Linked DNA regions of Drosophila melanogaster. The protein of the gene in region 2 purifies or fractionates together with the protein of the main gene of each other region. This does not show direct contact. Each region holds a gene or a part of one and is shown on either strand. Other genes may lie near its edges. The genes, in order: orb2 and Pabp2.

Region 1 (5,191 bases), on a different chromosome or scaffold from region 2:
AAAACATCGATCTTAGCCTTGGGTACTTCATACCCCTGAACGCCAAGGAGCAGGAACAGCAGTTGGAGGCAGCAGCTCCAGGCCACAAAGCGCAATGCATCCGCCATTGTGGGAATACCAATTAAAACTGCGATGAGCGGTCAGACAACTCGGACTTGAAAATCTGAGAATCTTATCAAGAACCGGTCGAGGCTTGTTTGTTAAAGGTGCACTGCAAAAAAGTACACACCGTAAAGTGCTATCGCAGATTCTAAAGTCTAAAGCCTATGTTGAAGCAAGTATGTGCCATCGTAGCTAAAAATAACAATGGGCGATTTAATCAAGAAAATAAAAAGTAAAATACAATAATTTTGGTGTTTTTATATATAAATATCTTTAATGGTAGTATTTTCTAAGTGTAATATTTATTTGAGATTTTTTTGCCAATGTTTAGAGAAGAGCGACAACACTCCCACAAGAAGAATTTGGGATTTACCCAATCACAGCCATTGAGAGTAAGCTTTTAGAAGTATGAGTAAGAATAAAGAAGAACATACGGACAAAATGTACAACCTTCTATTAAAGATGATTTTAGAGATTTTAAAAAGCCCGCTTAATAAACAGCGAAGTTGCCCAACTCTAACGTGTCAGCTGTTTGTGGTATTGTGGTATATCGATAACTTTGCTTGCGGTATATCGCTGTAGTAATAAGGGCATAAGGGCATATCAGTGAAAGATTAAATTTTTTTGTTAATAGTTTCCATTGTTGCCATTAGGTAAATATTTAAACAATACTTCTATTCTGAAATAATAAGCTTCGCCGTGTAGCAGGCGACGAATTTCGATGAAATTCTGAGTCTCGTCCGTTTCCTTGTCTTATTAGCTTTCGTTCTCTCGATAGAAAAATTTGTAGAAAATATCACACACGGGAAAAAACAAAAACATGAACATATTTTTGTAAAATATTTAATTAGCGAGAAGGACACAGCGTACACGTATATTTTGTGGTTTCGCATGTTGTTCGTCAGTGTTTTTGTGCAATTATTTGAAAGATTTGGCCAAACGCGAAACGCAACAGAAAGAGGAGAACACAATAAGACAATAACAAATTCGCAGCGCGTGTGTCGTTGAATGTGCGTGGTTGTGTGCGTTTGTGCTGCTGCCAAAAGAACGCGGATATAAACAAATATCCATTTGGATCGTTGGAGCTGTTTTGTTATTGTAAGTAATGCAGATTTATGTAATTCACTTGTGTGTGTGCTCTTTTTGACCAGTCTTTGTTGTTGTTTCTGCGCTATGAAAACAGCTGTGGCGTTGCCAGACAACATAGCGCTTTATATAATTTTCTATAGGGCTGAATTACACATAATTGCTGTGCTTAGCTTAATTATTACAACATTGGGGCCATTATTTATTTTCCTTGCTAATTACGAGTGACATGTAAAGTTATCGATAAATCGATTGGCTCGTTGGATGGTTTGTTATGGCAGAAGGGGTTCCAAACAACGCACTATAGGCTGAATGGTACCTTTTTGTGGCCAAAACTCCATTCTGTAATTGAGTGTTGTAAATAGCGCTTTTAGGTATATTAGCTGAAACAAAAACTTATGTTTAACTTGAGATTTAAACTGAAAATAGAGAAATCTCAATAAAAAAACGAGTTAATTTAATATAAGGGGCGGTGCCACGACCAGAATTTTTGGTACTATAAAAGATATGGGCTAGTGTCACCCAATGCAAATAACATAAACAAAATATCTCTCCGATTTAAAGTTATTAATTTTGGCCACAAAAAGGTACCATTAAGCCTACAGTGCATCGCACGAAAGCAAAACAAGCGAGAATGATTGATTTTTCGTCGTGCGTCTTCGGGCGAGTGGCAGCTTCGTGGAAAAGCGGGCAGCAGTGAAAACTTTTGGCATCACAGTCGTTGCTGACGAGCGGAAGGGACCGCAGCTCGGGAAAATCAGGAAAGAAAACAACGCGTCAGGGCGCTCTTCTTAAATTTGAAAATTAAATGCAACTAAATAGCGTAAATTAGTCAAAAGTGTAAATAGTTAAAATCGTTTTATAACCAAAAATTACCAGTGTAAATCGCTTATTAGTGCTGTGTTAAAAATAGTTACCGTTGTACGGAAAGAGAGAATCGAGTGCAAAGGAATTTTCCTACGTCACAGGCTGTGCGTTTGTGTGAGTGTGCACCCCCGGAAATGTAACACGCACACTGGCGCAGGAAAAACTTGCACCTGAAAGTTTTCGTCGTGTTTTCCATCTTCGTGCGCTCTCGGCATTCGACATAACACAAAAAAAAATAAATTGAATAACGCAGCAAAAGGTTAGTTATCCGCTATTCAGTGCACCTGTCAAAAATCCTATTTAAAATTCGGACTTATTTGCCCCAGTTTTTATCCAGGGCTGGCATTATCTACCGTCAGCGCGTGTGTATATTAAGTGAGTGTGCGTGCGAGTGTGTGTGTGTGAGAGAGTGTGTACGTAACCAATTGGAACTGGGGCAACTGGCAAATACGGCAACGAATCGGTGGAGCAAAGCAAACGCCGCAATAAACCCCTAAAAAATCTCCAACCCCGTGAAGCAAGCACGAGAAAAGCTGGCTGAAAGCTGCAACTTGGCCCAGTTACTTTGGCTCTAATTGCAGACGTGATAATAGAAGTGCACACAAAGCATAATATTTCCAGAGGGGTGGGTGTGGGACCAAAACCAAAAAGGGGAGAATAAAAAACAGCAGCAGCAGCATGACAAACAAAAACAAACTTCATTTGCCAAGAGCCTTTCAACCAAATTTGTTTGCACACTCATAGCTACAGATAGAGATACAAAGATACAATTGCATTTCAGTTGAAGATGAGCGGCTCTTCCACTTTTCTCGGTTTCTGAGCTCTCGAGTTGGTAAACAAAATTTCGAATTTTTTGGGGTGGCAGGTAGAATAACTGGTTTTATAAATTAACACTTGGCCACATTCAGGGGTAGTTTTTTAATGGGTTTCTTCGTATCACTTTAAAGCATTATCAACAAATACGAGTTAAGATTTACTATTCGCTGCTGCACACCCTAAATGGAAAAACTAAATAAATTTTGAAAACGATACAATAAAGAAATGTTAAATTCAATACCAACTAAAAAATACAGAAAACCAAAGATGTAAAAAAAAAGAAAAACTGATCTAGAAAATAACTCCTTAACTACTGCCAAGTATATTTTGTAGAAGAAGCTGTGAAACTTGGGAAAGTACCCCTAAAATAATGCCCCAATCCTAAGCCGCCGCTCTTTTTGAAGCTGAGCCAAGCAGTCTGTGCTTTTGGCGGCACATTACACTTGTTTACTTTTGAAGTGTGCGTGTGATACGCCTGTGTGTATGTGAGTGCTTCGTGGTGTGTGTGTGTGTGTGCGCTCCATGGGGGCGTTACTGTCTTTGTTGTTGTTATTGCTGTACGTCGTCGTCGTTCCTTCTTCGGCTATTTTTTGGGGGTCGCTCTCGTCTCGTTTGTAGGGCAAAATTGTGTATTGATTATGCCAGTTTTATTTTCCTTTTGTCTACATCCCCAGCCCAGTTTCAAAAACTGGAAAAGTGTGGGGCACCTGCGGTCTGTTTTTCATGCCCGACTGAGCCATTTCATTGGCACAGCGATTTCGTTGTCTCTCCGCATTTAACTAATTAAGAGCCTCTGTCTGCCCATCTCCCCCCTTTTTCAGAACAATAGACGTTTTCCGGTCGCTCAGCCCAAAATGAAGTGCGTGTCCAGGGACAGACGAAAAGCTTTAGAAATTGGATAGTTTAGTGCACTCAACGAAATTTTCAGATACTTTGCATATCTTATTTTTGGACTTAAAATGTAAGAAGCTTAAGAAGAAAACAATACATATCATATGTAAATGCTCCTTTAAGTAGGCAATATTTTGTTCAAAAACAGTTTTTTTTCGAGTATTTTGGAACAATACTTTATTTATGATTAAAATATTTTATTGAATTATTTATAATAATACTTTGACCACATTATAATAGTTTAATTTTGATTTAAATTGCATATTTTGAGAAACTAAACATAGCAATGTGTGGCACCTATTTCCCTCAGTGTTTCTATATGCTGCGCGTATTATATGCAAAACGGGTAGCATATTTGACCGACATCGGGAACAGCGGGCTCTGAAAATCGTTTGCCTCCGGGGGTGGCTTTTGTAATTGGAAAAGCGATCAATTGTAATCCCCCCACCAGGCGGGTTTTCACTTGACTAGCGCTACCAATTTAGAACTCGCTATACCCCATTATCAGGCCATATCTACACACTTTTATTACTCATGCACAAAATACGAAAGGCAAAAGTTTAGAATAGCACTTGTTTATTTGTTATTTTTGGCCCGTCGCTTGCCAAGTTTGCTTTTATCAATAATATGATTGATTGCTGTTCGGTTCCATTGTTTTTTTCTTTCACTTTTTTCCCACAACACGCATTGCACATTTTGTGACCCATTTTATCTTTGGCTTTTCGTTGTTAGCCCGATTAAAGAACGTGAATAGATAGGGAATTTCTTGTTGGCCATAAAAATAGCTCAGTCACATCGAAACGCAATTACCAATGCGCTCTGTGCAAACCGTCAGTTTCTAATAGCCAATTTAGAATTTAAAGTTCAATGGGATATATACATTTATCCCAGTTTTTTAAGCATATGCTTATTTAGTTGAATATATTAGTATTTTAATATACAATGTTTTGTCAGCATATTGGAGTGAAACTATTCACCCAATTTGTAACTTATATTTTCTTATAAATTTTCCTTTCATCGTTAAATGGTAAAATGCTCTGCGAAAATAAATTTTCTTTGAAATGATTTTCTGATGAGCTGGCGAAGATCGTCCAAACGGTCACTGGTAAAAATGTATTAAGGGTTTTAAAAATAGCAAAATAAAAATTAATGTCAAATAGCTATTGCTGCTGCTTTGGTCGCTTTGTTGTTGCTGCCACTGCTGCTTTTTTTTTCGCCTTTTCCCCGTACGATTTATTTATTTTTAAACGCAATTACGTGCGGCTCTAGTGCTGCGATGGCAAATGAGAAAGGGGGGGGGGGGGGGTGTTGTGCGGCGAAAAGTGGGCGTGTGGAGGAGGTGGAGGGGCTCGTTTCCCCCTAACAACACACGCATGACGTTGACATTTCGAAAACAGCAAGTGTTCAGGCCAAAATATGATCAACATAT
Region 2 (5,374 bases):
GTAATCTAAATTCATCCGTTTGCTCCTCGACAGGCCTCTGCCTCCGACTACAAGCTGCGCACCGCCGAGGATCTGCAGAGCGCGCGCAAGGAGTGTGCCGCCAGCAGCAAGGTGACCGAGGCCCTGATCGCCAAGTACAAGACCTTCGACTATCCCGACGATGACATCACCCGCAACTACATCCAGTGCATCTTCGTCAAATTCGACCTGTTCGATGAGGCCAAGGGCTTCAAGGTGGAGAACCTGGTGGCGCAACTGGGCCAGGGCAAGGAGGACAAGGCCGCGCTGAAGGCCGACATCGAGAAGTGCGCCGACAAGAACGAGCAGAAGTCGCCCGCCAACGAATGGGCCTTCCGTGGCTTCAAGTGTTTCCTTGGCAAGAACCTGCCCCTCGTGCAGGCCGCCGTCCAGAAGAACTAGGAGTTCAGCGCAGTTCCACATCAATTCTAGAAGCGAAAGATCAATCAACACGCAAGCAACGCGGCATTTTCGAGTTGAAATCCGCTCAGGCTCTGCAATCCTACGATTGAAATAAAACCATATAATAGTGCTTTTGAATGAAGAATGTTCTTTTTATTATTCACAATATTTCTGAGGGCTGGAAGAGAGGTAGGGCTGCTGGTGGTGGCAGGAATCAAGCTGTTACTCGCATCCTCAATCCCAAAAAACCTTGTCCCGCCCAAAGGAAAGGCATTGATAGCTTATTTAATTCGATTATATTTGTCTTCATCTTTTTCGCTTTAGTAAATTCAACTTCTTTTCTTATCTTCTCTTTACTCTATATATTTTTTTTTTAAATATATAAATTACACACGCACTTTTTATATATTTTGTTGATTTACTTCTTTCCCAAGAGTCTTGTGTTCTTTTGATTTTTTTTTTATATTTTCTTCCTTCTTTATTTGCTTTTGCCATCTTTTAACTTCTTTTATTTGGGGTTTGTGGTTTCTTTTGCGCTTCTTTTATATATACTTATTGTTGTATATACTTTTTTGTTTTTTAAATCAACTTCTTGTTTTTCATAATCTTTTTTTTTTTTTTGATGTTTTATTGAAAATTAAAATGTGTGAAAAGGGGGTGTTTGGTGTTGGGTGCTTCAAAAAACATTATAGCCAAGTCAAGATATTCGTTTTCCTTGTTGATTTTTTATTATTTTCGAGGTCTCTTCTTTTCGCCTGTTTTCTTGCTGCTGATGCATTTTTTATTGAAACGATATTTTTTCTGGCGTTTTCTGTTGCGATTGTTTTCTCTTTTTTATTTAGCAAAGAAGTTTGGCAATAAAATAATGTTTTTTGAAATTATATTGTAAAAAAATCTGAAATCAAATAGTTAATGGATTAAAGACGACAGTCGGTAAATCGAATGGAAGCATTATAATAAAACCCAACACGCTGCGAATGAGAGCAAGGTATTCCCATAAAGGGTTCGGAAAATTATTCTGTTTTTGACCATAAATTTGATTGTTTTTATTTCCCGTAATGATCTACCAGCTATGCAAACTAAATCTATTTAGCTCCATAAAAACAAACGGCATTTTCTAACAACTTAAATTTAACATAAAAAGACGTCCTCATTGGTTTTATAAATTTTAAGAAAAAAAATGTATCAAAATATAAGAGATAGATATCGGATTACTTTATGTAACCGACATAAATCGGACGCAACCCACACATATAAAATTTCAACTATCAATTATTTTCAGTTCGAAATTGTCAACTTACCTTACTAGGGATTTTAATAAAACAATAATCAGTAAGGAGCGTAGTAATTGGCGCGACCACGGTAACCCCTTCTGGAACGAAAGACAGACCGGGATTAGCTCGATCCAATCGGGATTTTCCAGAGCCCACTTACATAGCTCTTCGGGCGCCTCGGAAGGTGGAGTGACAGCACGCCCGGGAGACACGGGCTCCTCGACCCCGGAAGCTGCCGCGTGCGAAACGGTTTGTGGTGGAGAGTCCAGGGCGGTTTGTGCGCTTCGACATTACCTGAAAGTCAATAGATTAAGCTAAAGTCAACTCTAAATATGTGCTTTCAAAATTGCGCTACGTAGGAGTCCCTAGGACTCATTCTATCCACATATGTACATGAGAGTTTGATAGGTAGCAGGACTAGCAAAAAGTGCTTCAGATACTCACCTTTATTTGACGCCCTCGGAAGAGGGTTTCGTTCATGGCCAATGCCGTCTCGACAAACTCCTTGGAACCAAACTCAATGTATGCGAATCCCTTGGGGTGCCCGTCAGCCTTGTTGCAGAGTATGGTTACTCGGTTGATTGTGCCGCATCCGTGGAAGTGGGCCTCCAGTTCCTCGGCCGATGCGCCGTAGTCCACATTGCCCACGTAGACGGACCGCGTGTCGATTTCCTGCTTCTCCTCAAGAGAAAGCGGGACTGTGGCCAAGCCGGTGGTAGACCCACCGGCCATTTGTTTGTCCACCTCCGACTGCATCTGCTTTATCTTCTCGGCCTCCTCTTCCATCTCCTTGACTCGAGCCTTTATGGCCTCCAGTTCCGGGTCGATTTGCATGCTGCCCTCCTCCTGGCGACGAGGAAAATATGAAATTTAGTGGTATTTGATTTGGAGCGATGAGCAAACGCCCGAAACCACAGCAGACAATGGAATGGAGTGGCGGTGCGAAGTGACGCTCTGAAAATGGCAGCCATTGCTGCGGTTTTCGGCTTTGTATATCCCCCAAAGCTTTGCGAGCTTTTCCAGGGAATTCGGCGGGCTTTCGCAAGGCGTGAGGCCAAGAAACTGGTTCTTGGGCACTGTCTACAAGGGCAACCCCAACTCACCTCGACCTCTGTGGCGATCTCAGTCTCTTGCTCCCCGTTCGTCTCCTCCAATGACTCCAGGAGCTGATCCTCGTTCAATGTGATATCTTCATCGGCCATTGCTTTGGATTTGGGTTTGTTTACGTCTGCTACAAAAGCTCGGTTTTGTTGGCGCAAAAGCTTCCGGCGTGGTACTCAAAACGGCAGTTGTCGTAACTATGTATGTATGGTAGCTGTCAATGAGAAAAGGGCGGCGAAAGTGAGCATAAAGAGCGTAAAACATTAAGAGCGCGAATGAAGAGTTCATCATGCAAATGCAGTGAAAATCCAAGCCATAAGTAAATAAATTCAGGCTGCGGACACCGAAATGTCTAGGTTTCACTGCGTTCGCACTACTACACTGATATTTAATTAAACACACTGTACTTACGTTTAATAAATGTACAAATTACGAGCTCGTTCTGCTGACGTTGAGTTCGCCCAAAATGGCTGCCCTGTGAAAACACACGTACGCTGGGTTGCTGGGTTGCTGTTTTTCGTTCAAAAGTCTACGTTTTTAAACCCTTTTCGACTTTGTTTCGCGCCACACCACGTCAGCATAAATATTTATTTATAAGCTTATTTATTTATTATTTACTAATATTTACAACTATACGAAAACGTACGTAGTTTTTGACACAAATTGAAACAGATTTGTGTTCGCCTCGTTTTTACCGATGACAGTTTTCGCCTCGATAGTTTCGATGGTTTGGTGGTGGGTTTACCTATCGATAACTGCCGGTATTTAAGAAAGCAGTTCTTTGGATGATAAAAATAATAGTATTTTCACACCACAATGCCATTTTAAATTTACCATAGGAAGGAAAGAAGAGGAATGTGCACGCACATTTCTAACAAGGTTTTGTAAATGGGAATCAGACAAATTATTGTTTAAGGAAGTCATATATTGCGAAATAACGCCATCATTCAACCATCAATCAGGGCCCATGCATAACGATAAAAGGAGAACATGAACGATTCCTCCGATTCGGAGTACGAGGACACAGAGTACCTGGTATTTGCGGATTTCAAGAACCACATTCATCCGCACCAGCTGAAGCACGAGGACGCGGCCATTAAGATCATCGGAATCGAGAGTGACACGCCCATGGCCGAGGTAAATGGAAGCATTTATCGGGGACGCTACGAACATTCCGTGGGAACCAACGTGTTCTTTGAGAAGGAAAAAGACAATCTGGCAAGTGATCCGCTTTTTGAGTCAGTGTGTCGCCAGCGGTACCAGTACGTGGACAAATCCACCAAGGTGATATCTTTTGAAAGGGTCTACGTGGACAATTTGCACCAGGAGGTGGAGAAGTCGGCTGAGACTGAAGAGGACGATCAGACCGAGCCAAAGCCAGAATCTCTGAAGCTAAATATAACTTACAAGGAGGCTATTAACAAGTTTGGAGAAGATCATTGAGTGTGGAGAACTGAGTCTAATCCTGAACAAAAAACACTCTTTCAAGACATACCTCTTAGTACCATGGATACCACCTATATTACAACGAATCCAGCTTTAAGCCTGCGAGACTTTCTAGCCGACTATCAAAAGAAAATATCCGGTACTGCAGACGAAGTGCCCTTCTTTCTCCAAAAAAACCCAGTACTTGTCGACGTGTCTGAAAGCTGTTCCCTGGACTTGATCGAGTCCCCAGACGACAGCTCGATTGCAGTCTTCCAGCCCGCCGCAGACAAATGCCGCCCAACCTTTTCTCCGCCGCAGGAGAACCAGCATGTGCCCTCCACTTTTACTGCTCTAAGCCAGCACAAGGACAAGTCCCGTAAGTGTCCCTTTGGCCGCACCCAGTACAGCCACAAACTGAATCCGACGCCGACAGACTCGCCTAACCTGCACATCGATGCTTGCGGCGAACTGGAGCTAACCGTGCGTCTATATCGACCACCGCGGGCCTACCATCGCGGGTTTAAGGTGGAGATTCCCGTTTTCGCCGAGGAGTTCGTATGTCTGGGCAGCAATTATCTGACCGAGCTGCGGGACAAGATCAGCTGCGTTTGCAATGGAAAACGGTTTGTCGACATCAGCGACGATCCAGATGCACCGTTGCCATCCATTGACACAAATCCCGGTTACTTCTTCATCAACGACACATTCTACAACGACCAGCGCAATCCGGACAATCCCGACTATTCCAAGACCGTCTTGCAGTGGGCTGCCAGAGCGAACGGAGTGAACGGAGAAACGCTTAAGGTGGAGAGTATGGAGGGCAAAAGATTCATCGATCTCACTGTCAGCCCCGGATCACCGCTACACTACCTGCACCACGGCAATTGCGAACACCTGTTTGTGATCTCCCAGGTAGAGGTGCTAACGCCACTTAGTAAACGGCCAGATCGCAGCCTGTATCCCTATCCTCACGCCTTCAGTACGTTTAATCGCAGGACTTGCTATATGTGCGGCATTCGCAGCTATAGCTTCATCGTGAACCAGTCCCGGCGACAGCTGCACGATCCCTCCTACCTGTGCCGCAGATGTTTTCTCAGCTTCTTTTACGTGGATGGTGTCAAGCTGGGCCAGTTCAAAGCCTATCGCATGTA

The links.
Region 1: the proteins of Pabp2 (region 2) and orb2 purify together in Drosophila melanogaster (affinity purification with western blotting; 2 studies listed by BioGRID, with this or other methods). This does not show direct contact.

The regions. Positions count from the first base shown.
Region 1 is NT_037436.4:8,949,942-8,955,132, reverse strand, and holds the start of orb2 (orb2), read left to right. Parts: upstream 1-1,898; 5' UTR 1,899-2,314; intron 2,315-5,191. Other genes in the region: GNBP3 (Gram-negative bacteria binding protein 3), read right to left, coding at 1-107. UniProt on the Drosophila melanogaster protein: RNA-binding protein involved in translational regulation and required for long-term memory. Required in mushroom body gamma neurons for long-term memory in male courtship. Binds to mRNA 3'-UTRs.
Region 2 is NT_033778.4:8,129,556-8,134,929, reverse strand, and holds Pabp2 (Pabp2), read right to left. Parts: upstream 3,500-5,374; 5' UTR 3,207-3,499; intron 3,010-3,206; 5' UTR 2,897-3,009; coding exon 2,798-2,896; intron 2,541-2,797; coding exon 2,139-2,540; intron 1,989-2,138; coding exon 1,855-1,988; intron 1,790-1,854; coding exon 1,750-1,789; 3' UTR 1,722-1,749; exon of another isoform or gene 1,453-1,721; intron 1,316-1,452; 3' UTR 556-1,315; downstream 1-555. Other genes in the region: Obp44a (Odorant-binding protein 44a), read left to right, coding at 34-420; CG42516 (uncharacterized protein), read left to right, coding at 3,786-4,238; Pbp49 (PSEA-binding protein 49kD), read left to right, coding at 4,302-5,374. UniProt on the Drosophila melanogaster protein: Involved in the 3'-end formation of mRNA precursors (pre-mRNA) by the addition of a poly(A) tail of 200-250 nt to the upstream cleavage product.